Struthio camelus: one gene and its partners. Each later gene encodes a partner of the first gene's protein in a complex. Links are inferred from orthologs where the notes say so. Each region holds a gene or a part of one and is shown in the gene's direction. Other genes may lie near its edges.

Region 1 (7,733 bases):
CCTTTTCTTATGTAATGCTCTGTGAGAGCTGGCATGCTATGAGTGTTGGTTGGAAGGACCTCTGGAGGTCTCTAGACAAACTTCTCTCAGAGCAGGACTGCTGCCAGCACGAGATTGGGTTGGCTGTCGCTTTGTCTAGCCACAAAGCCAAAGTCTGGTTCTAGCATGCTCACGCATACTTGGTGCGTTGGGACCCTCTTTTCAGCAGTTTATTAAGAGCTCTGACTCACCACACAGAAAGATTTAGCTGAGGTGTCTGTCTCCTCCTGGAGTTACTAAAGAAGGCCACATGGGGCATATACCACCAACGCTCAGTCTGTTAACATGTTCCTGTGCCAGTTACACAAAAATGCTGGTCTGAGAACTGAGACAGCTGAGGAGTAAGTAGCCTGTCTGTTTGGCTTTTTCTGTTCTACAGCAGGAGTACTTTCCTGCCCTCCCTCTCTCACCAAGTGTTAGCCACTCAAGCTAAATTCACCTACAGATTTGAGTAAGATTCCTATGCGCTGCCAACGCAAAACAGCTGTCACTTTTGGATTTTATCGATTGAGGTAGCTTAGCACGGCTAAGCTAGACACCTGGCTTTGCTTCGTTGCAGCCTGGACCAGACTTGTTTTCAAACCAACTTTAAGCAGACATAAACACTCCTGTCACTGGAAACCAATATGCCTGGAATGATCAACTAATACTTCTCTACAGTAATCCCTGCACTTCTGTAATAGCAATTAAAACCAACAAGCTTGGATCACTGAAATGAAACAATAGCATGCAAAGTGTTCACTGTGTGCCTTGCGCAGTTATTTCTTCAACTTCATGCTATTGGATTACTGTCTTAAACACTCTGGGGACAGAGATGGTGAAGAACAGCTTTCATTGGCAAAGGTAGGCAATTTCTCACACTCTGTTCCATTTTCTGTGGCCCATCCAGCAAATCATACGCTAAGCCTAAAAAAACAGCAAGGAACAAGTCCATCCAAGAGAGGCTGAGCGCAGTGGATTTCGTATGCTTTTGTTCTGGCAGTCCAGCACTGATATCAGACGTTGAAATAAGCACTTACAGCTAACAGTTGGCAAGTGCCCAGGGTGGGGAAATTGGAGCAGTAAGATGCTTGGGAGACCTAGCCATCCTATGTGAGGAGCCTCCTTCCTGGGGACTGCATCTGAACCTGCGTGCGGCTAGGAGGGATATCATCAGCTTTATTCCACTCTTAGGGCTTCAACACTTTTGGTCTCAGTGGCAGTCCAAGCAGTATGGACGGACTGCCACAGTCACCCTTTGGGTGTACCAAAAGGACATTTGTCTCTGACGTCCCTCCCTCACCACTGGAGGGCTCTGCAAGTGCATTTTTTTAGTGCTGTGGCACTTCTCTGGATGGTGGCATTTTTCTGCAATTCTTACACTCTATAATTAATGCAGTCAAGATACGCTACTAATTTCCCCACTAATGAAAAACTGTTTTGTACAGTGCTAACCACAGATATATGATCACATCCTTGAAAGGCAGCGCTCTCACTGGATCGACTTAGGGCTAAGCAGAAAGATCGCTATTTTGAAGCCTGGAAACTTGCATATACAACCAAGCAGGCAGCCAAGGAGCTGTTCCACATCCAAGCCACGACTGACCAGATGACAGCAGCTCCCGTCCTAAAGAAAAAAGAAGGTAGATCTACACTCTGACATTTGTGAGTGCCACCACAAGGAGTCTTTTGAAATCCTGATGAGCAAAGGATGGTTGGTGCACCATAGCTCTGTAGAACACCAGCCAGAAAACCAGTGTTCTGTATTCAAACTATAAAACAATCAAATAAGGCTTATGCTGAAGGACCAGAGCATACTTCTAAGGCAACAGTGAAAAGCCAATTGGTGGAATAACTACGTAAGCCCCGATATTAGAGCTCTTGCCTTAAAGTTACATTTGCTTTGCTCGTTTAAATGGCCATTCTGTTTCAAATACTGCTATTTTGCTGGATACAAGCAAAACAAAACAGAACAGAACCTGTACTTCCCAGAACCGATGACCACCCTCGGGGAAATACGAGGCCCACCCTTCGTACTTTTTTCTCATGTGCTCTTCTGCACACGAAAAGCACAGGACAAAGGAGCGGCACATTTCTCCTACCGTGCCCACATCCACTGTAGCAATTCCTAGGGCTGCCCAAGCTCTTCAGGGGCCTCTTCAAAACCCATGGTCTAAGATGCTCACAGCTTGAGCCCTGCTCCTCAAATCCGGAACAAAACTGTCCAGCCAAACTGTCCCACCTCAAAGGATGCCCAGCTGCTTCTCCTCCTCACCTCGCACAGCTATGTGTCTCGGTCTGGCAGGCACTGAACAGAGCGTGACCCACCGCACACACGGCTGCTGCTCTGTCCTTCTGGTTAGGCCAACACTCTGCTCAGGTCATCAGTATTTCAGGTTCGATGAGCTGCAAGTGTTTCAGATGGCTCTGCCTTGCACTCTGTAACAGATCTTATGCCCAGTACTTATTCCAACTTACCTGACAAACTACAACAAGGACAGTGAGTAACTTCATTTTCCTGTGATGACCAAAAATAGCCAAGTTCAAAATTGTATTTCCAGCCACAAACATTACCTCTAGCTTCCGAAAAAAAAATTCCAACTTTGCTTTATTGTGGTTTTAAATCATGTTAAGTCCCTAAAGTGTCATCCTCCTCCACTACCCCTCCCCAGTCCAGAAGAGTTTGAAAACACCACTGGTTTTCCCAGTGAGATTTAACAGCGTTAAGCTACTGGGCTTACAATGCAGCCCACATTTCCCCTCTGACCGGTAACGGTGGTATAAGTACCATTTTTCTGCACGTGCTGCATTTCTCCATTGCCTTTTCTGAACCACAAGCTTGGCAAACAGAACTGGGCTGTAGTAGTTTTTAAAGAATGTTTAGACCAACAGGAGGTTGCAGGGCTTTTCCGTACGTGCTGCTTGTGGCGGAAGAGTCTCTGCTAGGCCTCCTACCCTCTACGGCTGTGGCTGGAGGCTCCTCCGCTATCTCCCGGATGGAGTTATCTGGCCTCGCTCCCGGAGAAGCAAATCCACCCGTTATCAGAGCGCACAGCTCCCTCTCTGGCCGACCTGGGCCACGGGGCAGGCGGGAAGCAGCCAGGAGGCCCCCAGCCCCACGCTAGCCTAGGCCTGTGGGTCTGACCCAGCCCAAGGCGCTGCGCTGAACACAGACCGCCCGCCGACCCCCTCCAGCAGGATCAGTTACCCCCCCACACCCTCCCAGCAGCACCCATTACCCCCCACACCCTCCCAGCAGCACCCGTTACCCCCCACACACGCCCCCGGCGACACCACTTACCCCCCCGCATCCCCCCAGTGACACCCGTTACCCCCCCACACCCTCCCGGCAGCACCTGTTACCCCCCCACACCCCTCAGCGACACCCGTTACCCCCCCCACACGCCCCCAGCGACACCAGTTACCCCCCTGCATCCCCCCAGTGACACCAGTTACCCCCCCACACCCTCCCAGCAGCACCCGTTACCCCCTCACACCCTCCCAGCAGCACCCGTTACCCCCCACACCCTCCCAGCAGCACCTGTTACCCCCCCACACTCCCCCAGCGACACCACTTACCCCCCCGCATCCCCCCAGTGACACCAGTTACCCCCTCACACCCTCCCGGCAGCACCCGTTACCCCCCCACAAACCCCCCCCGGCGACACCAGTTCCCCCCCCACATCCCCCCAGTGACACCAGTTCCCCCCCCACATCCCCCCAGTGACACCAGTTACCCCCCCACACTCCCCGCAGTGACACGTTACCCCCCCACACCCTCCCAGCAGCACCCGTTACCCCCCACACCCCTCAGCGACACCAGTTACCCCCCACATCCCCCCAGTGACACCAGTTACCCCCCCACACTCCCCCCAGTGACACGTTCCCCCCCCCACATCCCCCCAGCGACACCACTTACCCCCCCACATCCCCCCAGTGACACCCGTTACCCCCCCATACCTCCCCCAGCAGCACCAGTTACTCCCACATATCCCCTCAGCGACACCAGTTACCCCCCACATCCCCCCAGTGACACCAGTTACCCCCCCACACTCCCCCCAGTGACACGTTACCCCCCCACACCCCCCCGCGACACCAGTTCCCCCCCCCACATCCCCCCAGCGACACCACTTACCCCCCCACATCCCCCCAGTGACACCCGTTACCCCCCCATACCTCCCCCAGCAGCACCAGTTACTCCCACATATCCCCTCAGCGACACCAGTTACCCCCCCACATCCCCCCAGTGACACCAGTTACCCCCCCACATCCCCCCAGTGACACCAGTTACCCCCACATCCCCCCAACAGCACCAGTTACCCCCCCCACATCCCCCCAGCAGCACCAGTTACCCCCCCACATCCCCCCAGTGACACCAGTTACCCCCACATCCCCCCAGCAGCACCAGTTACCCCCCCACATCCCCCCAGCAGCACCAGTTACCCCCCCACAGCCCCCCAGTGACACCCCTTACCCCTCCCCCACCCCCAGCCCCTCCCTCACCCCGCCCCCGCCCTACGTCACTCCCCGCCCTGGGGGCGCGCGGACCCCCTTCCCCCCCCGCCGGCGCACGGCGGCGCCCCCGACGCGCTCCCCCCAACCGCGCGCGCTCCCTGCCACGTGACGCGGGCTGCCTCAGGGCCGCCGTCACGTGGGCGCGGGGGGGGGGGGCGGGGCGGCCGGAAGGAGCGGGGCGCGAGGCCGGAAGTCGCCGTGGTGGCGTTGGGCCTAGTAGTGGCGGCGGCGTCGGTGGCGCTTCAAGATGTCGATCGAAATCGAGTCGTCGGAGTGCGTCTGGCGGGGGCGGCCGAGGGGCCGGGCGGGTGCTGTCGGGGCGGTTCGGCCGGGCCGTTGCGGGAGCCGTTGGGGCAGGCGGGCGGCCGGTGGTGGGGGGGGAGGAGGAGCTGCGCCTGCGGGGGCTGCGGGGCCACTGTCAGCCCCGAGGCCGCTGGGGGTCGGGGGCCGGCGCTGCCTCGCGTGGGCACTGGCGAGGTGTGTGGGGGGGAGAAGGGCGCTTTGAGGCGGTGTCGTGATGGTGCGGCGCTTCCCCGCAGCGTGATCCGGCTGATCATGCAGTACCTGAAGGAGAACAGCCTCCACCGAGCGCTCGCCACCCTTCAGGAGGAGACGACCGTGTCCCTCAACACCGTGGACAGCATCGAGAGCTTCGTGGCTGATATCAACAGCGGGCACTGGGATACAGTGCTGCAGGCCATACAGTCCCTCAAGCTGCCCGACAAGACCCTCATCGACCTCTACGAGCAGGTCGGGTCGGCAGGCTGTGCACAGCCTTTCCTGCTCTGTCCACGGTAGAAGCCTTCTCTGGTGCTTCCCAACCTGCCTTTGCCGATGCAGATGTTTATCTTCTGTTTCAGGTTGTGCTGGAGTTGATTGAGCTCCGGGAGCTGGGTGCTGCCAGGTCTCTCTTGAGGCAGACAGATCCCATGATCATGCTAAAACAGACTCAGCCAGAGCGGTACATCCACCTCGAAAATCTTCTGGCCAGATCTTACTTTGATCCTCGTGAGGTATGCTGTGCCCTCCCCAGAGACCTCATGATGCTATTCTGCATCATCCCTGCCACTGGCCAAAGCTGCTAAAGGATGCTTACAGCATCATCTCATTTCCATTTCGGGTGTAAGATCCTGGAATCCACCTGAGCCTTCAGGATTAGATTATTCCAAGGAAACTTTGTAGTTTGATGGTTTTATGGGTTTTATGAAGCGTTTGCAGAATGATGTCTAATAGTTTGTCACAAGGCAAAACAGTGGTTTTGAAGGATGGTGAAGCTGGGTGGTTGGGAATTTACTTCCATATCCTGTTACAGGATGACACTGGCCTAGTCACTTGACATCTTTGCCTTGCTTTTCCTGCCTTTATATATGCCAAAGAAAGCGTGTTAGGAATAAAGCTGTTGTTGTATAACGATAGCAATAATATTAACAGCAATAGTATTGATAGTAGTAACAAAAACAAGATATTCTCTCTGACTGAAGTGTAAAGCTGACGTTTTTAGTCAAAACATGCATATCCCAAGTGTTTAAAGGGTTGGAGATAAAGAGAAGGGCTGTTTTGCATGCCGCATAGAAAATCTGAAGGGGATTCAGCTCAAAGCAATGGAACTTTCTCTGGCAAATCACTTAGAAGAATGACTTCATAAAAAGTAACTTCTTTCTAGGCATACCCAGATGGAAGTAGCAAAGAAAAACGGAGAGCTGCTATTGCACAGGCTTTAGCTGGAGAAGTCAGCGTGGTACCTCCGTCTCGTCTTATGGCGTTGTTGGGCCAGGTAATCCTGTAAAAAGAATGTTTCAGTAGCTTATTCAGTTTCTCTAGATACAGAAACTGACTTCGCTGCATAAAATTGCCCAGTTGATTCTCCAGCTCTGTAGAAATAAAGCCTGAATATTGCGGAGTTGCATATATTGTAAGTTAAAAATGATCTTTTATCATTTTAGTAAGAATTCAACAGCTGCAGAAAAACTCGGCCCTTCGGGGGCAGATTTCTTCCCATGGAACAAATGCTCCAGCTTAGAATGATTATTCTCAAAATAAATATTAACACATTCAAAAGTTATATTTAACATAGTTGGTGTTCTTATAACTGCTGATTCTCAGAACATACTCATTTATACTGTGTATAGACAGTACTTTGTATTTTGTTGGTTTGTGGTTTATGTCTTACTTCTAAAACTGACAGGTATGCTGAATAAACTCTTTTTAACTAGCTAATCTGGTCTGTGACACAAAGCAACTAATCTGCCCAAGGGGTTTTACAGGACTGTCTTTTGAACTAAGTTCATCTGTGTACTCGAAGAGAGGTTATGAGTTCTTTCTAATTTTAACGCATTCACTTCTGAGCAAATAGACAACTCGGCTGATCAGGTGATTTAAATTAAAGCAAGATCAGACCTATCACACTGCCTGGGTGCTATGTATTAAGTACCAAAGATAAAATGAGAAATGTGGGTCTGAAGTCAATCTCACTTGCAAAGAGCATTTGGGAATAACCTGTTGTTTGCAGTCATGATTTGGGAAGCATAACGTAACGTAAATCTCAGTTGTGGTTGGCTCAAATGATTATTTACCTCAAACTGTCCAGGGAACACTTTGTGGTTACAAGAAAATATTGCTGTATTGTGCTTATGGCACCAAAACTTCATTAACTGATACACAGCTGTATGGCTTTCAACTCCTCAAAAGGCACTGAAGTGGCAACAGCATCAGGGCCTGCTTCCTCCTGGTATGACAATTGACTTGTTCAGAGGCAAAGCAGCTGTGAAAGATGTGGAGGAAGAAAAGTTCCCCACACAGTTGAGCAGACATATTAAGGTGAGATTTTATTTACTTTTTATGTGTTTTACCATTTCTTGTTCCTTCCTGTTTCAGTGTTTTATGTTGGGAGTAAAAAAAAAAAAAAAAAAAAAACAAACCTTTTGCATCTTTTCTGTTGTCTTTTTTTGTAAAGAATTTCTCACTCCCCCTCGATCTCATGAGGAGACTTCTATTGAGAGTGTGAAATGATGCTTCTTAACAACATTGGAGCGCTCATGGTATTCAAGAATATGACTAACACATTAGCCATTGACTTAACAGTTCAGAATTGCTCAGTCTTTGGAAATGGTTGCTTAGACCCCTTCTTTATTTGTGAAGGAAAATACTAGCGTCTTTAACTTGTGCTTGCATATTAACTTCTGTGAACCACTGAGGTTTTG
Region 2 (7,846 bases), on another chromosome or scaffold:
ATATACTCCCAGCCAGCCTGCTGCCTAGCATCTGTTTTTCCTCGTCCTATCTGGCTAAGTGGGAGAAGAAGGGCATGTGGCTTGTTGCTGGGCCCTTTTGGCCATCCTTCTGCTGCAGAGCAGATGGATTTCACTGCCAAGTTGTTTGTGATGCAGCTGTAGCAAGCAGAGTCTTTCAGGGCTTCATGTAAACGTGTTTCTCTGTGGTTTATTGATAGCCAGGAACACAACTGATGGTAATACAAGCTGTCTTTGAACCCTTGTTCTGCCATTTCTTCCACTGCTTTCACGCATTTCCATTGATGCTTCATTCAGACCAATTTTAATATTTCCATTACAACTCCACACTCTCAGCCCAGTGTCCTATCTGGGCAGACCCAGCTTGGGGCTGCTATGGAAAAATGGGCTAATGGTTCCCCCTTCTCAGAGGGTGGGAAAAGACCAAGGAGAGGCCTGTTTCTGTGCAGAGCCCTTGGGACTCACTGCAGGTGTTAACGTGCAGGTGGATCAACACAGTTTTGTGCTTAAAATGATCAAGCAGCTATATTTATCTGACTCTGGGCTTGTGTGTCTGGTAGGGCAATGGTGAATTTTCTAGCCCTGCTCCCTAGGGTGTACAATGGCAGTTGTGGCACCAGGACAGATAGGAGCAACTGTAGTGGCTACTCAGCTGCCTCAGCTCTCAAGAGGCAACCGGGATCCAGCCAGCTCTTATCCCTCTCTCCTTACACAGGCTGCTGTTGACTTCATCAGCCAAGGAGGGCACCGGGCCCTTGAGCAGCATCAGAGCACCCCAGAACTCCAGGAGCGGGTGCGAGCACTGCTGGACATGGCCTTGCAGCCGGCGGGAGACTCTGCTGTCAGTACCACACATGCTGCATTGCCTGCTCTCTCCTAGGTGATGCTGTCTCCCTTCCCTCCACCTGCCCTTGCGCTACAAGGAGGAATAAATCGTTCAGTGTGCTCTGCTTTCACATACCACTGACCTAGGGATGGTTAAAGGTCTAACATCCAGCTGTAAGCCCCAGTGCAAGGCTGTTGGTCCTGGATGGGGATTCTTGGCAAAGTACGATTGTTCTTCTCTGCTCCCCAAGGTCTTTACAGTCACCTAGTCAGAATTAAATTTGGCCTAGTCAGAACTAAGTCTGCCCCATGCCTCACTGTGTGTGGCCAGGGCAGAGCTGTGCTACGGCCAGTGCAGAAAGGCTCTCATTTCTGGGAAGGTGGTATATAAACCCTTCTGGATTTGCTGGTTTATAATCCAGCAAATATAAACCAACTGGAGTGTCTCCTTTTGTCACAGCTTTAAGCGCAACACACAAAGCTCAGGGTGAGCACGTACATTTATGTGATTAATAACTTAAGGATAGACATGTTTCACATTAAAGCTCATCAGTAAAGTCTTCGGTGCGCACAGGTTCACTCTGTCTTCAGACCTTGCTTTTTACAACGTTCTCTAAAGCCTTGGCTACTTCATCCATGCTCAGGTTATTCAATGGCACGCTTCTCTCCTTGCCGAACTCTGTAGGAGAGACGGAAAGTGAGAGAGGGAGCAGATGCCTTGTTCCTTTTCTACTGAAAGGGCAAGGTAAAGTCCTGATTTAGTTTTCCTAGGGCTTCAGCCAGGGTCACTAGAGCCACAGGTGTGGCTACCCCCACCCTCCTTTATCACCCAGCCCTCTCCAGGATGCCTTGCCATGCCCAAGTTACCGGTTCCACCTTCCCTTTACCCTGTGACTCAGCCTTTCCCTTAGAAAAGCCAAGACAGCATGCCATGCTTGCTTGCCTCTTCTTGTTAACTCTTAATGCAGCTGAACAGAGACTGTGGTGATGTCCCCAAAGCAGCCTGGTGGCTTTCAAGCCCCACGCATCCAGATCCTCACAAACACTTCAGTAAAACACTACTGAAGGACTTGCTTCTACAGCAGCTCCTGCCTTGCAGTGTGTCTTCCTGCAACTCACAACAAGACAGAAGAGACACACTGTACTTGAAGGCTTTGTTGGTCCTTCTACTCACACTGGGAAATTCATGTTTCAAGAGTCATTGTGTCTCTTAGAAACTTTCTTTCAAAGTGATTTTTGTCTGTCCCAGATGCCTTTGAGAAGAAACCAAAGCCTCCTCTCTAGGAGCTTTTCTGCTCCTTCATTAGTTTCACTGAGGATACAGTGAAACTCGAAAGAAAAAGCAGAAAACTTTTTTCTTTTTTTTGCATAGGCATCTTATGGGTGTGGGAGATAACGGGCACAAGCTGGCAAATACCTCCCAGGGAGTGTGCGTTTTGTGCCTCCCACCAGGTTACACAGCCGTAACACACCAAGGAGGTAATGAAAACAACTTTATCGCAGTAGTTTAACTGATAAGCAAGAATTATCATTAATTGGCAAGATTTTGAATTTCAAGTACATTAATGGTGGGGTTATCTGTGTTCCTGCATTCTCCTCTTCTAAAGAAATGGGGCCCCAGCCACATCTTGTCTCACAGAGACTTGCTCCCTCAGAGAGGATTTGCATTGCTTTAATTACCAAACTCCCTGATTTCCTGTAGACCACAGCACTGTGGTACCACGTTTTTTTTCTAGATTTTGTCAGAAGGTATTTCACTGCAGGTACCTCCCCGCTTACCGTATCGAGCCCACAGTTTGGGCTGCACCTCAGAGCATTCGCGAATTAGGATGGGAAAATCCGGGTTTGCCTTCTTCAGGGTCACGTAGTGCTGCTCAATGAAGTCTCTGGGAAGAGAGGAGGGTCAGATTCCCAGGGCACGAAGAGCACGGCCAAGCCCCCTCCCGAGAGGCGGTTCGGCAGCACGTCTGGGACCCGGGGAGCCTCGGGGCCCGATGCTGGCTCCGGCAGGCTAGCGGGAGGGGCGCTCTTGTACCGCCGGGGTACCCCAGTGCCCCGAGGGCGCCGAACTGCCGTGGCAGCGGACCCACGTCTGCCGGCCGCCAGGGACGGGGGCCTCCCGCAGCTGTGACACGGGGCTCAGTCCCAGCTCTACTCCGGCACACAGTGCTGAGCACCGTCCCGGCCCGCCTCCCGGTGCAGTGCCGAGCACCCCCCCCCCCCCGTGTACAGCGCCGAGCACCGCCCCCCCCCCCCCCCGTGTACAGCGCCGAGCACCGCCCCCCCCGTGTACAGCGCCGAGCACCGTCCCTCCCCCGTGTACAGCGCCGAGCACCGCCCCCCCCACCCCGTGTACAGCGCCGAGCACCGCCCCCCCCCCCGTGTACAGCGCCGAGCACCGCCCCCCCGTGTACAGCGCCGAGCACCGCCCCCCCCGTGTACAGCGCCGAGCACCGCCCCCCCCGTGTACAGCGCCGAGCACCGCCCCCCCCCTCCGTGTACAGTGCCGAGCACCGCCCCCCCCCGTGTACAGCGCCGAGCACCGCCCCCCCTCCGTGTACAGCGCCGAGCACCGCCCCCCCTCCGTGTACAGCGCCGAGCACCGTCCCCCCCCCGCCGTGTACAGCGCCGAGCACCGCCCCCGTGTACAGCGCCGAGCACCGCCCCCCCCGTGTACAGCGCCGAGCACCGCCCCCCCCCCGTGTACAGCGCCGAGCACCGCCCCCGCCCCCCCCCGTGTACAGCGCCGAGCACCGCCCCCCCCGTGTACAGCGCCGAGCACCGCCCCCCCCCGTGTACAGCGCCGAGCACCGCCCCCGCCCGTGTACAGCGCCGAGCACCGCCCCCCCCGTGTACAGCGCCGAGCACCGCCCCCCCGTGTACAGCGCCGAGCACCGCCCCCCCCGTGTACAGCGCCGAGCACCGCCCCCCCCCGTGTACAGCGCCGAGCACCGCCCCCCCCCGTGTACAGCGCCGAGCACCGCCCCCCCCCCCGTGTACAGCGCCGAGCACCGCCCCCCCGTGTACAGCGCCGAGCACCGCCCCCCCCCGTGTACAGCGCCGAGCACCGCCCCCCCCCCCGTGTACAGCGCCGAGCACCGCCCCCCCCGTGTACAGCGCCGAGCACCGCCCCCCCCCGTGTACAGCGCCGAGCACCGCCCCCCCCCCCGTGTACAGCGCCGAGCACCGCCCCCCCGTGTACAGCGCCGAGCACCGCCCCCCCCGTGTACAGCGCCGAGCACCGCCCCCCCGTGTACAGCGCCGAGCACCGCCCCCCCCCCCCGTGTACAGCGCCGAGCACCGCCCCCCCCGTGTACAGCGCCGAGCACCGCCCCCCCCCGTGTACAGCGCCGAGCACCGCCCCCCCGTGTACAGCGCCGAGCACCGCCCCCCCCGTGTACAGCGCCGAGCACCGCCCCCCCGTGTACAGCGCCGAGCACCGCCCCCCCCCGTGTACAGCGCCGAGCACCGCCCCCCCGTGTACAGCGCCGAGCACCGCCCCCGCCGTGTACAGCGCCGAGCACCGCCCCCGCCCCCCCCGTGCACAGCGCCGAGCACCGCCCCCCCGTGTACAGCGCCGAGCACCGCCCCCCCGTGTACAGCGCCGAGCACCGCCCCCGCCCCCCCCGTGCACAGCGCCGAGCACCGCCCCCCCCGTGTACAGCGCCGAGCACCGCCCCCCCCGTGTACAGCGCCGAGCACCGTCCCCCCCCCCGCCCGTGTACAGCGCCGCCCCGCAGCCAGCCCGCACCTCACGCCGCGGCTGCCCGGGGAGCGCTGGCACAGGTGGATGCGGAGCTCCCGCAAGCTGCGGCCCAGGCCGCCCCCGATGCCCCTCACAACCGCCGCTGCCATCTTCCTTCTAGGCCTCCCCTAGCTACGGCTGGGGGCGGGGCTTCGGCGGCCGCCAATCACAGCGGCCCTGGTCCCGAGGCTGGCCAATGCGGGGGGGGGGGGGCGCGGGCGGAAGGGCTGGCCGCGGGGGGTGCTGGGAGGGCGGAGCGGCGCTTCCGGTGCGGGGCTGTTGCGCGGAGCGGGCCGAGATGCCGGAGCGGGACAGTGAGTGGGCCGGGGGGCGCTCCCGGGGGCCTGCAGGGGCGACACCCTGGGCGGGGAGCGCGGGAGTCGCCCGGGTGTCGGGACCCGCCGGTGCCAGGGCGTCGGGAGGCCCCTCGGGCGGGGGGGGGGTGCGGGGCCTTCCCGGGGGCACGGAGTCAGCCGGGGTAGCGGTTCCTGGCGGTGATACCGGGCCCCGCGCTCCCCTGCCAGCCCGTCCCGGGCCGGGGCCGGTGCGCGGCCGGAGGCGAGCGGAGTGGCCGCTGCCCCTGTCCTGCCTGCGGGCCGGGCCCGGGCTGGGGGGGGGGGGGGCAGCAGGGGGGTGAGGCAGGCTCTGAGCGCTCTCTCTCCTCCCGTCCCCCAGGCGAGCCGTTCTCCAACCCCCTGGCCCCCGATGGCCACGATGTGGACGACGCACACTCCTTCCACCAGTGAGCACAGCGCCCGGCCGGCGGGGCGGGATCGAGCCAGGCCTGCTGGCCTCAGGGTTACGATGCCCATCCTCATGTCAGGAGGCTGAGAGGGACCGACGCAGCCTCCAGGTTCCCTCCGCGGCTGCCCTGTGTTCGATCCTGTCACACAGGATGCCCTGGCGATCCCTCGGTCTCTGCGGTACCCACCCCTCAGGCTGATCTTTCTTTGGGAGATGATTGTTATTTTTACCGTGTCTTCTCTGCAGATCCAAGTTGACCAATGAAGACTTCCGAAAGCTTCTCATGACCCCGCGGGCTGCGCCAACATCTGCGCCACCCTCCAAATCTCGCCACCATGAGTGAGTAGAATGCATTTCACACAGCTGTGGGACCAAGCATGGCCTCTCTCCCTTCAAGACTGTTTCTGTTTGACTCTCTCTGCTTGCGCTCTACAGTGGCTAACTTGAGTGTGCAGGCAGGGCCAAGGAGCAGACTTTGCCCTTGCTTTGTGCTCAGGTCCAAATTGTGTATGTGTTATTGGAGTTGGTTGGATAAATAAGTTGGTCAGAACTCTTGGGAATGACAGAGTGGATTTTGCATGTTTTTAAACAACTACGTAAAGGGTCCCGAGAGGCAGCTTTGGTTTGTCGTTCTGTGAAACCCTTTGAGTATCTCAGTGCCTTGTAGTTCCTGAGTTACTGTTCTGTCTAGCTGCCTTCGATGATGTGAGTCTGTGCAGCTTATGATGTGTGTGGTTTCTCACCCTTCTCCAGGATGCCCCGGGAGTACAACGAAGATGAAGATCCAGCCGCTCGCAGAAGGAAGAAGAAAAGGTAAATGGGGAAAATGATGCATCGAGAGACATCGGCCCATGTCATCTCCTTCCCATGGAAGCAATTCTTCAGCAGCTTGGGCTACCAAAGAGGACCCTAAATGGGCGGGACTAGTTTGAGACTTTGGAGCAAGAGCAAAGGAGCCAAGTAGAGTGAGAAGGGTTTGGACTGAGTGACTGCCACTGCTTGTGGGAATGGATGTGGAAGGGTAGCAGCAGGGTGGGGGCGAAGCTTCTCTGCCAGAAGAAGTGGGAGAGCGCTCTGCAAGTGACTGGCAGATCTGGACAGTGCTGGGGTATCTGTACTAGTGAGCATTTCCCCTGGTGCACACCTGTGCAGCAGAACTGTGCTCGAGGCCCTTCCCTTTAGAAGGGGCTAGGCTCCTCTCCAGTGAACCTGTAGAACAGTTTCATCTTGACTAGTGTTTTCAAAGCGTGCTGTGTCCCTTGGTGCTTTAGCCCATGTTTGGGGATGGAGTAGGGAGCAGAAAAGGCATGTGCTGGGGCCTTCGGGGGCTGTGTTAGCTGACCGGGCGTTATAAGTGTAACCCTGTAGCTCTAACACTGAGCTGTTTCTCCAACCCCAGCTATTATGCAAAGCTGCGCCAGCAGGAGATAGAGCGTGAGAGGGAGCTGGCTGAGAAGTATAGGGATCGAGCCAAGGAGAGGAGAGATGGAGTCAACAAGGACTACGAGGAAACAGAGCTGATCAGCACGACTGCGAACTACAGAGCTGTGGGGCCCACTGCAGAGGCGTACGTGAGCCTATGGCCAGGCCTTGTGTTGCCAGTCTACTCCAGAGTGACTCTCTCATAATTGGCTCTATTTTTGTTGCACAGGGATAAGTCAGCTGCAGAGAAGAGGAGACAGTTGATCCAGGAGTCCAAGTTCTTGGGTGGTGACATGGAGCACACTCACTTGGTGAAGGGTCTGGATTTTGCGCTGCTGCAGAAGGTGAGCACAGATAGCACCATGTTGCTCTGAGCAGCGCTTGGCTTGCCAGAGTTCCACTCGTATTCCTCTGTTCTCTCCTCTTCTCTACTGGCGCAGAGGGTGGGGAGAAGGTAGTATTCACTGTTTATAGACACTTCAGTCTAGCGTTGTCAGTGTGTTCTTGGAATAGCTTGCTCTTTTTGGGAGAGGTTTAAGAGGGGTTGGGGATCTGGTGGAGGAACTCTTGCTGGCTCAGATGAGCAGCTGTATCATGGATTGGTCTGTAATGCATGGATTTGCTTTGTGGCCAGGTACGGGCTGAGATTGCCAGCAAAGAGAAGGAAGAGGAGGAAATGATGGAGAAGCCCCAAAAGGAAACCAAGTAAGTGTTTCAGGGCGCTCTGCTCCTGCGTGCAGAGGCCTCCCGGAGAGGAGGAAGAGGAGGCATGCAAACACTTACTGTAATGCTTCTCTTTCTTCTTAGGAAAGATGAAGATCCTGAAAACAAAATTGAATTCAAGACTCGGTTGGGTAAGATTATGTGCATGTGACTGCTCACCACCTTACATGGGTTGTGCCAGGAAGGGTGGGAGGAGTCTCGAAGGGTGGATGGAGGAATGAAAGTTTTAACCTGTTGGACAGGAGGGTCTGGCAAGCAGGAATATCTTTGTCGTGTAGAAATTCTGATTTTTTTAGGGCTGGAGGAAGTGTCTCTCCTAGCGGGTAGTTATGAGATCTCTGATCAGCTACAGATGCCTCAGTGTGGGAC
Region 3 (7,366 bases), on another chromosome or scaffold:
CCTCTGCACCTCCTCACCTTCCCTGTGATGCCAAACAGCGTCAGGTACTCAAACAGCAGCTTCATGTCCCCCAACCCCTCCTTGGCTAGTTGATTCTGGGATAGCTTTGGGTCCTGGAGGAGCTGCTCAATCAGCTCCAGGCCACCTGTGGGAACAAGCCATGCTTGAGGTCTGCCAGGAGCCAGCAACAGAGCTGCACTGGCAACCGTGGGCCCAGTCGGTCGCGGGTGCTGCTTTGCACCCTCTGCCCCTGCCCAGGGTGCGCTGGCCCCTGCCTGCCTGGCCTGCAAGAGGGTGGCAGTGCTTGTAGGGACAATGACCGAGCAGGCTGGAGGGGGGGGCTTTCAGCCGAGAGGGAGAAGGGATCCCCCCTGCAAAGCGCTCACCGTGGAGCTGGACATATTCCCCAATGCGATTCGCAGCCTCAGGAGAGAGCCCCTTTTCTCCCAGCATCTCGCTCCTCACATCCTCCCACGACATCTGTGAGGGGAGACAAGAGCATCAGTCACTGCAGAATGCCCTCATCCGTGGTCTCCACCAGCCCATGGATTCAGAACGTGTGTGGGAGGAGAGCAGATGCTTCACAGCAAGCATTCTCACTAATGATCTGTGCCTATGTCACAGGAATCCTTAAGGGAAATCACTGACAATGCCAGGCTTTATTCTTGGCCACTGCTACTAGCCCAAGAGTTCTCAGAGTCCCTTACAAACACTACTGAATTAACTGCTGTGATACTTCTTTCTGATGGGAATAGCAAAACCACTGCCCAGGCTGAACATCCCGAAACTGGAAGTGACCTGCCCAAAGAGCAAAATGCACATTTTGCAACTTCAGGGCTACTTCCAAGCATTTGTTACTATCCCATAAAGCACTGGACACAGGTAGGAGAACCCCCAGAACTCCCTTACCTTGTCCAGTTTGTCCACGGTAGAGCATGTGGTTATGAACTTGCTCTCTGGGACACCACAAATGGCAAACACACCGTTCAAAATGCGTCGGTCATTGACCTGGGAGGAGGAAGAGGCATTCTCAGCCCAGGGGAGATCATCCCACTGCAATTTCTCCTTGCCCCTGCCCAAGAGGTGCTGGAAGCTACAGCTGTTGGAGTCTCCTTGTACCTTTTCACTGGTCTCTCAAACCCACAGCACACTGGAGCGGGGGATGGGAGGGAAGGCTCCACTCGGCTCTCATCTCACCTTAATGAGAAAGTCCCCAAGCTGCAACTCACTCAGGATCTCATGCACTATTTTCAGGCATTCTGCATCAGGAATCATAGGATCGAACTGGCCAGCAATGTCAAAATCCTGGGGACAGGAAAAGGTAGAGAAATTCCTGGCATAGCTGGGCTGCTCCTGAAATCCAGCCCATCCTCCTATGTAGCATCCCCTTCTACTTCAGCAGGAGCCCAGCTTCAGGACTGCTGTGCAGGGCCTCTACTCCAGAGGCAGAGCTCAATGGGGCACAAAGCATCGTATAAGCACACAGCAGCTGAAAGTAACCACCCCTCTCACCACTCTCCAGCTCTCTCCTCCCACGTTCCTGAGAGGAACCAGCCCAGCTCCCCTCGCACAGCAGCTACAACACTCACGCACTGGTAGAATTCCCTGTAGCGGCCCCTGGTTGTGGCCGGGTTGTCCCTCCTGTACACCTTAGCGATGTGGTAGCGCTTAATGTTGGTGATTTTGTTCATTGCCAAATAGCGAGCGAAGGGCACCTGAGACCAAAGGGTTAAGGACAGAACCCAGAGATTCCCTGAGCCGGACAACCGAATCCCAAAGCCACCCCTGTCCTCCTGTCACTTCGCAGGCTGCTCCCAGACCAGGCAACAGCTCTCTAAAACACAGACTGGGCTGATGCTGTGTATGATGAACTACGCTTAGCTCTTTTAATGCAGGAACAATTTCATTTCCTTTTCATTAACTGCAGTATGTCAACACCTTGCAAACACAGACCTTCGCTGGGTCATTTTGCTTTCTTAAGGTCTGATACAGAAACAATTCAATACATAGTGCAGGAGATATTGGAGAAAAGAGCTTTTAGGGGAGACAAGTGGTGATAGAGAAGGCCCAGGATGGATGCTTCTTTCATATCTGCAGCAATCACTTTTGCTCTCAAAACAACCACCAATGCTCTGCAGAGGTATGGGAAAGGTGGCAGGGGAGGACAGGAGCCCACACAGGTGGGGACCATGTCTAGGAAGAGGTAAAACCAATATTGTGGGGGATACTGGTACATACCCACAGACCGCAGGAGAAAGAGCAGATTTGTTGCAGATATTGGACTGACTGGGAGGCAGTTAGAGGTGGGAGTCACAGAGTCAGACCAGCTTGGGATCTCAACTGGTCAGAGTGAAGGAGTCAAGAGTTTCGGTCATCCATACAGAAGGAAGCTGGGATTCGTAGATCGGTCAGGGTAACGTTACATGGGGAAGGAGGACTCATGCTAACGCCTTTAACCTAGGCAGAGACCACAGCCTGTCACTGTACCCTCCACAAGGGCTGCACGCTCCCCACGTGCTCAGGGCTGTGGCAGGATACAGTCAGGTCATAGCGAAGGGCCAGCAGCTCTCCTCCCTGATCCTGCAGCTCATAGATGAGCTTTGAGTTGTCTCCATACTTCCCCATCAACGTTTCCTAGGGAGAAGCAAGGCAGTCATTAGGGGAGGCACAGAGCAGCAACAGCTGAAGCTCAGAGCCCCCAGGATGGAGAACAGGCACTAAAGCCCAAACCCCTGAGCAGGTTGGCTGGCTTGAACTCCAGCCCCAACCTTGCTGTGAGGAGTCCCTTGGTGGGGAAGAGGGGGGAACACACAAAGTTTTTCAGCACTAAAACCATCGCTGGGCCCTGCAGGGAAGAACTGCATGACTCGTGCCACCATCCGGGGGTCCCTCAGTACCCCCAGGCCCACAAACAAACAGGGGCAAGGCACAGGGAAGCTCCGCAGAAGCAGCACGGGATGGAAGGGTTCTCCAGCTCTCCCACAGCCCCATGGATCAAGCGCTGCAGCCCCACAAGCAGAGCAGCATGTGTTTGGGGCAGGGCACATATTCCCCCCCCCAACCCCTTGCCCTAGGGTGTTTCCACAGTCCCCTCCTTCCCCCACCGCATTGGCCCCAACACCCTCCCTGCCCTATGTCCCTGCTCCCCATGCCAAGAGGGGGCACAGCTCTCCCTCCCCCCTCCCCAAGCGAGGCGGGGGGGGGGGCGCCCCTTCCCCCCTCCCCAAGCGAGGCGGGGGGGGGCGCCCCTTCCCCCCTCCCCAAGCGAGGCGGGGGGGGGCGCCCCTTCCCCCCTCCCCAAGCGAGGCGGGGGGGGCGCCCCTTCCCCCCTCCCCAAGCGAGGCGGGGGGGGGGCGCCCCTTCCCCCCTCCCCAAGCGAGGCGGGGGGGGGGCGCCCCTTCCCCCCTCCCCAAGCGAGGCGGGGGGCGCGCCCCTTCCCCCCTCCCCAAGCGAGGCGGGGGGGGGGCGCCCCTTCCCCCCTCCCCAAGCGAGGCGGGGGGCGCGCCCCTTCCCCCCTCCCCAAGCGAGGCGGGGGGGGGGCGCGCCCCTTCCCCCCTCCCCAAGCGAGGCGGGGGGGGCGCCCCTTCCCCCCTCCCCCGGCCCCAAGCGAGGCGGGGGGCCCACAGCCCTGCGGGGTCCTGCCGGCCCCGGCGCCCCCTCACCCGGAGCTCCAGCGCGGGCGTGTCGATGGCGGCCGCCCCGTGCCGCTTGAAGCAGGCCACGACGGTGGCGAAGAGCCGGTCGCGCAGCGCCATGTGCGCGGGGAGGTGGTCGCGGGTGCCCTGGTCCGGGGGCAGAGCGGCCCTCAGCGCCGGGGCGCCACCGCCGCTAGCTCCCGCCCTCCGTCCCCAGCCCCCCCCCCCCGGTGCCCCCGCTTCCTCGCCCCACCGTCACCTTGGGCGTCTTCAGAGCCGGGCCCCGCCTGCCGCCGGCCGAGCCCGCCGCCGCCGCCCGCACCTGCCGGGACAAGAGCCCGCGGTCAGCGAGCGGCCCCGGTGGACGGGGCGGCCGGGCCGGGCCGGCTCTCAGCTGGCCCCCGGCGGGGCGCAGCCGCCCGGCCGCGGCCAGCGGGCGCAGCCGCAGCATGGCCGGTCGCGGCGAGCCCGGCTCGCGGCGGCGCGCGCCGCTCTCAGCGCAGGGCGCGCGCCCCCCCCGGGCCGACACGCGGGGCCGCTCCCGGCATCACAGAGTTCCGGTGCACCAGAGCAGGCGATGGGACAGCTAGAGCGTCCCGCGGCTCTTGGCAACCATAGAGACGCGGCGCTCTGGCCGGAGAGCCAACCACAGACGCTGAGGCTAGACCTGTCGTGACGTCGTGACGTGACCGGCCCCGCGCCGCTTCCGCGTGGCACTCTAGGCCTAAGCGGCGGGCTCTCCTTGGTACTTGGGCGGACTGCCTCGCTTTACGACCCAGGCGGACAGAGCGCGACAGTTTCCGTTCGCCGATCGCCTGCATCCTCAACATGGCGTCGGGCAGCGGGGTAGGTGGCGGCGAGGCAGCGGTGATCCGTTCCCCTTTCTCTCTGTGGGCTCCGGGCCCCGTCGGGGACTGGGCCGCGCCGGCTGGGGCCGTTCTTGGAGTGCAGGGCGGCGGCGGAGGCGGGGAAGGGGCGCCCGGCGCAGGCGGGCCGTGCTCGGGGCCTGCTGGCAGGCCGCGGGGTGAGCGTCCCCCCGGGGCCGAGGCCTGCGGGAGGCCCCGTCCCCGACTGTCCCCCTCGCCGAGCCCCCGGCTGCGAGCTGAGAAGCCTCGATCCCTTCGTGGCTGAAAGGGGGAGATGGAAGCCACCTCAGCCCCCTTAGGGCCAGGGAGCCATTTTTTCTGCTAGGCTTCGTGAAGAGAGTTGCACCTGTCCCAACCCGGGTGTGGAGAAACCCCCCCCCCCCCTTCGCTCTCCTGGGGAAGACTGGCCCATCGCAGAGGCTCTCCCGGGCTCGGAGATGAGGTGTGGAGGGAGCTCCCTCTGTCCATTCCCCCTCTCGTCCTGCCCAGCTCCTTTTCAGTTTCTTTGGGGAATGGTTGCCAGTGTCCCAACTGGCCAAAATTGCTACCTGTTGCTGACTACCCTGCATAGGGAAACCTTCCTTCCTGTGATTGTGGTCCTCAAGTCTCTGATGGCTCCTGCTTAACTTGATTGTTTTATTGGCATTGCTTGATCTGTGTATTGTGGCAGTGAGGTCTTTCTGCCTGTACGGAGCCTGCAGGATTTGGTGTTGGGCCTGTTGAGATCAGATGAGTGAAGTAGATGCTATTTGTATAACCAAACTGGAGAGCCAGATTGTCGTAAATAGCTCCAGTAATACCCAAGACAGCTGTCAGCACTACAGCACCAGAGGCTGTGTCTTTCTGCTTTCTTTGCAAATGTTTTTGTCACTTGAAGGCACTCGCTGAGAAGCGAGCAATGCTGAGAGAGGGCAAGAAACAGGATGTCTTCTGGGGAAAGAGTTGGAGCCTGTGTTTTATTTTTAGCCGCTGGTGGTTGTGTTCCTCCTGCTTAGCGCCAGTCTTGAGACTACTGAATTCTTGTATAGGCTTTGAAACTGAAAAGATCATTCACTGCCTACATCTGCAGCAAACAGGAGGCTTTGGAGCACTTTTCTTTTTTTAATTGTTGTTACTTGTTTGGGAAATAGTGTATGTCACCCTGAGCAGTTGTTAGATTTGGGGGCTTGCAGCCACTCTTGCTTCCACTGGACCAATTAAGGAAAGTTCCTTTGGATAAGCTTAGATCTTGTCAGAGATAGCTCGCAGTTGGATTCGATTTGTTTCATTGTGTCTGGCTTAGGGAGACTGGGAAAAGATGTATGAAAGATTATTTTCCTTTTATTATAACAGGAGGGTGAAGCAGCAAGTAAATTTCCTCCTCCCTGGGCTTCAGCCAGCTTTGATTTGTGATAATATGCCAGTATGCAGGAGAATCCAGAAAACACCCTGAAACGTTAATTTGCACTCTATGATAATTCCTTTTTCCTTTGCTCAGGGTAGCTAATAAAACCTGTTATGATACACTTAAAGTGCTTAAGAAGCTCTGGGAATAAATGAGAATTTTTCTACACTTCTCTAAGGCATTTTTGTTCTTATCAGTAGTTGTTCGTTCCATTTGAAGGACTGCCAGAGGAGAAAACCTTAAATGATTGTGCTGCTGCTGTAGCTTCAAATGGGATTTATTTTCTTTGGATTGTGATTGGATTCTTGATTTGACTAAACTGGAGAAGGTGGTGGGTGTATGTGGGTCCTTCCCCCACCCCCAAGGTGGCTTAAAATACAGCCATCCTCATTCTCAATATGAAATTGAGAACCTGTTGCTGCCTCTGCCATGCCAAGTGAAATGCAACTTTCTAATTATCTGAGAATTACCCTCTTCAGAAAGTAAAGAAGTGTCTGAGCTGTAAGCCCTGACTCTTACCAGGTGCTGGGGCTTTTCTTTGTGGCCTTTGTGCCTATGATAGGCAGACATCAAGAAGAGAATCTGACAGTTTAGTGAATAAATAAATGTGGGTGGAAGAGGGGTTCCTCTCAGGTCCACGTTGCCCTCGGTGTTGGTGGCTAGATAAAAATCCACATATGACGGGTGGTGACAGAGGTATCTGCAGAAAGAATAGTCTTTCTATATCTTCATTGCCAGCTTCACCTGAACTCTGCCTCTGTTCCTGCAATATATCCTGTCATTCCCAGTTTCAGGTGCTTTGGGAAGCTAGTTAAGGGCCAGTCTGTCTTGGAGATGTTTCTCCTTTTCCCTGCTTGTCTGAAATTTGGAATGGGGGAGTTATGGGCATGGGACAGTTTACTGTGAGTTGGGTACAATTGTCTTCCTGCTGTCTCTGCATCCTGATTTGAAAAATGGGGTTTTCAGGGCTTTTCCTGGTTTGCTTGTATGCGTATCTCACATGAAGAATACTGCTTCCTTTGATTTAATAGCAAACTCAGTGCTTTGATTCTCATGACATGAACACATATTGCTGATGTCTTTCAGAGCAAGTGTATATATCCTTCTGGACTTGTGCATATATTTTAATCAAATTCTTTATAGCTAATATTATGTTTCATGGCCTCCTCATGTGATTTTTTTGGAGCTCAGATTTAACTGACTTTGGAAAAAGTAGGTATAATTGGCTAATGACTAGGTTGTGTTTTGTCAGGTTCCAAGCCCTTAGACCAAACAGTTGAAATCCCTGTTTGTGTCTGGTATTCAAATAGAAATCATGGATGATCATCTCAGGAGCTATTAAGATAAACTCATTACTTTGCTCAGCACTTTGAAATTCTTCTGGAAGAAACAGATATAGGCATATGGAGTATTATTCTCTTAAGCTACATCCTTAGTTTCTGGGTATGAAAACAGAGGAATTTGGAATATAATGTAGTGTC

Evidence for each region.
Region 2: SMU1 (region 1) and IK share a complex: the UniProt entries of both Homo sapiens proteins name them as parts of the spliceosome B complex. The link is inferred for Struthio camelus from reciprocal best matches to the Homo sapiens genes SMU1 and IK.
Region 3: SMU1 (region 1) and ZMAT2 share a complex: the UniProt entries of both Homo sapiens proteins name them as parts of the spliceosome B complex. The link is inferred for Struthio camelus from reciprocal best matches to the Homo sapiens genes SMU1 and ZMAT2.

What each region holds. Positions count from the first base shown.
Region 1 is NC_090982.1:10,334,027-10,341,759, forward strand, and holds the start of SMU1 (WD40 repeat-containing protein SMU1), read left to right. Parts: upstream 1-4,655; 5' UTR 4,656-4,780; coding exon 4,781-4,806; intron 4,807-5,072; coding exon 5,073-5,283; intron 5,284-5,393; coding exon 5,394-5,546; intron 5,547-6,196; coding exon 6,197-6,307; intron 6,308-7,221; coding exon 7,222-7,350; intron 7,351-7,733. UniProt on the Homo sapiens protein: Involved in pre-mRNA splicing as a component of the spliceosome. Regulates alternative splicing of the HSPG2 pre-mRNA. Required for normal accumulation of IK.
Region 2 is NC_090954.1:22,732,413-22,740,258, reverse strand, and holds the start of IK (protein Red), read left to right. Parts: upstream 1-4,801; 5' UTR 4,802-4,886; coding exon 4,887-4,902; intron 4,903-5,263; coding exon 5,264-5,330; intron 5,331-5,578; coding exon 5,579-5,671; intron 5,672-6,085; coding exon 6,086-6,145; intron 6,146-6,731; coding exon 6,732-6,899; intron 6,900-6,983; coding exon 6,984-7,098; intron 7,099-7,388; coding exon 7,389-7,459; intron 7,460-7,561; coding exon 7,562-7,608; intron 7,609-7,846. Other genes in the region: TMCO6 (transmembrane and coiled-coil domain-containing protein 6), read left to right, coding at 734-898; NDUFA2 (NADH dehydrogenase [ubiquinone] 1 alpha subcomplex subunit 2), read right to left, coding at 1,431-1,522, 2,623-2,729, 4,595-4,698. UniProt on the Homo sapiens protein: Involved in pre-mRNA splicing as a component of the spliceosome. Auxiliary spliceosomal protein that regulates selection of alternative splice sites in a small set of target pre-mRNA species. Required for normal mitotic cell cycle progression.
Region 3 is NC_090954.1:22,677,664-22,685,029, reverse strand, and holds the start of ZMAT2 (zinc finger matrin-type protein 2), read left to right. Parts: upstream 1-4,463; coding exon 4,464-4,481; intron 4,482-7,366. Other genes in the region: histidine--tRNA ligase, cytoplasmic, read right to left, coding at 18-145, 387-480, 910-1,008, 1,198-1,305, 1,590-1,715, 2,539-2,634, 3,663-3,782, 3,895-3,957 and 1 more. UniProt on the Homo sapiens protein: Involved in pre-mRNA splicing as a component of the spliceosome.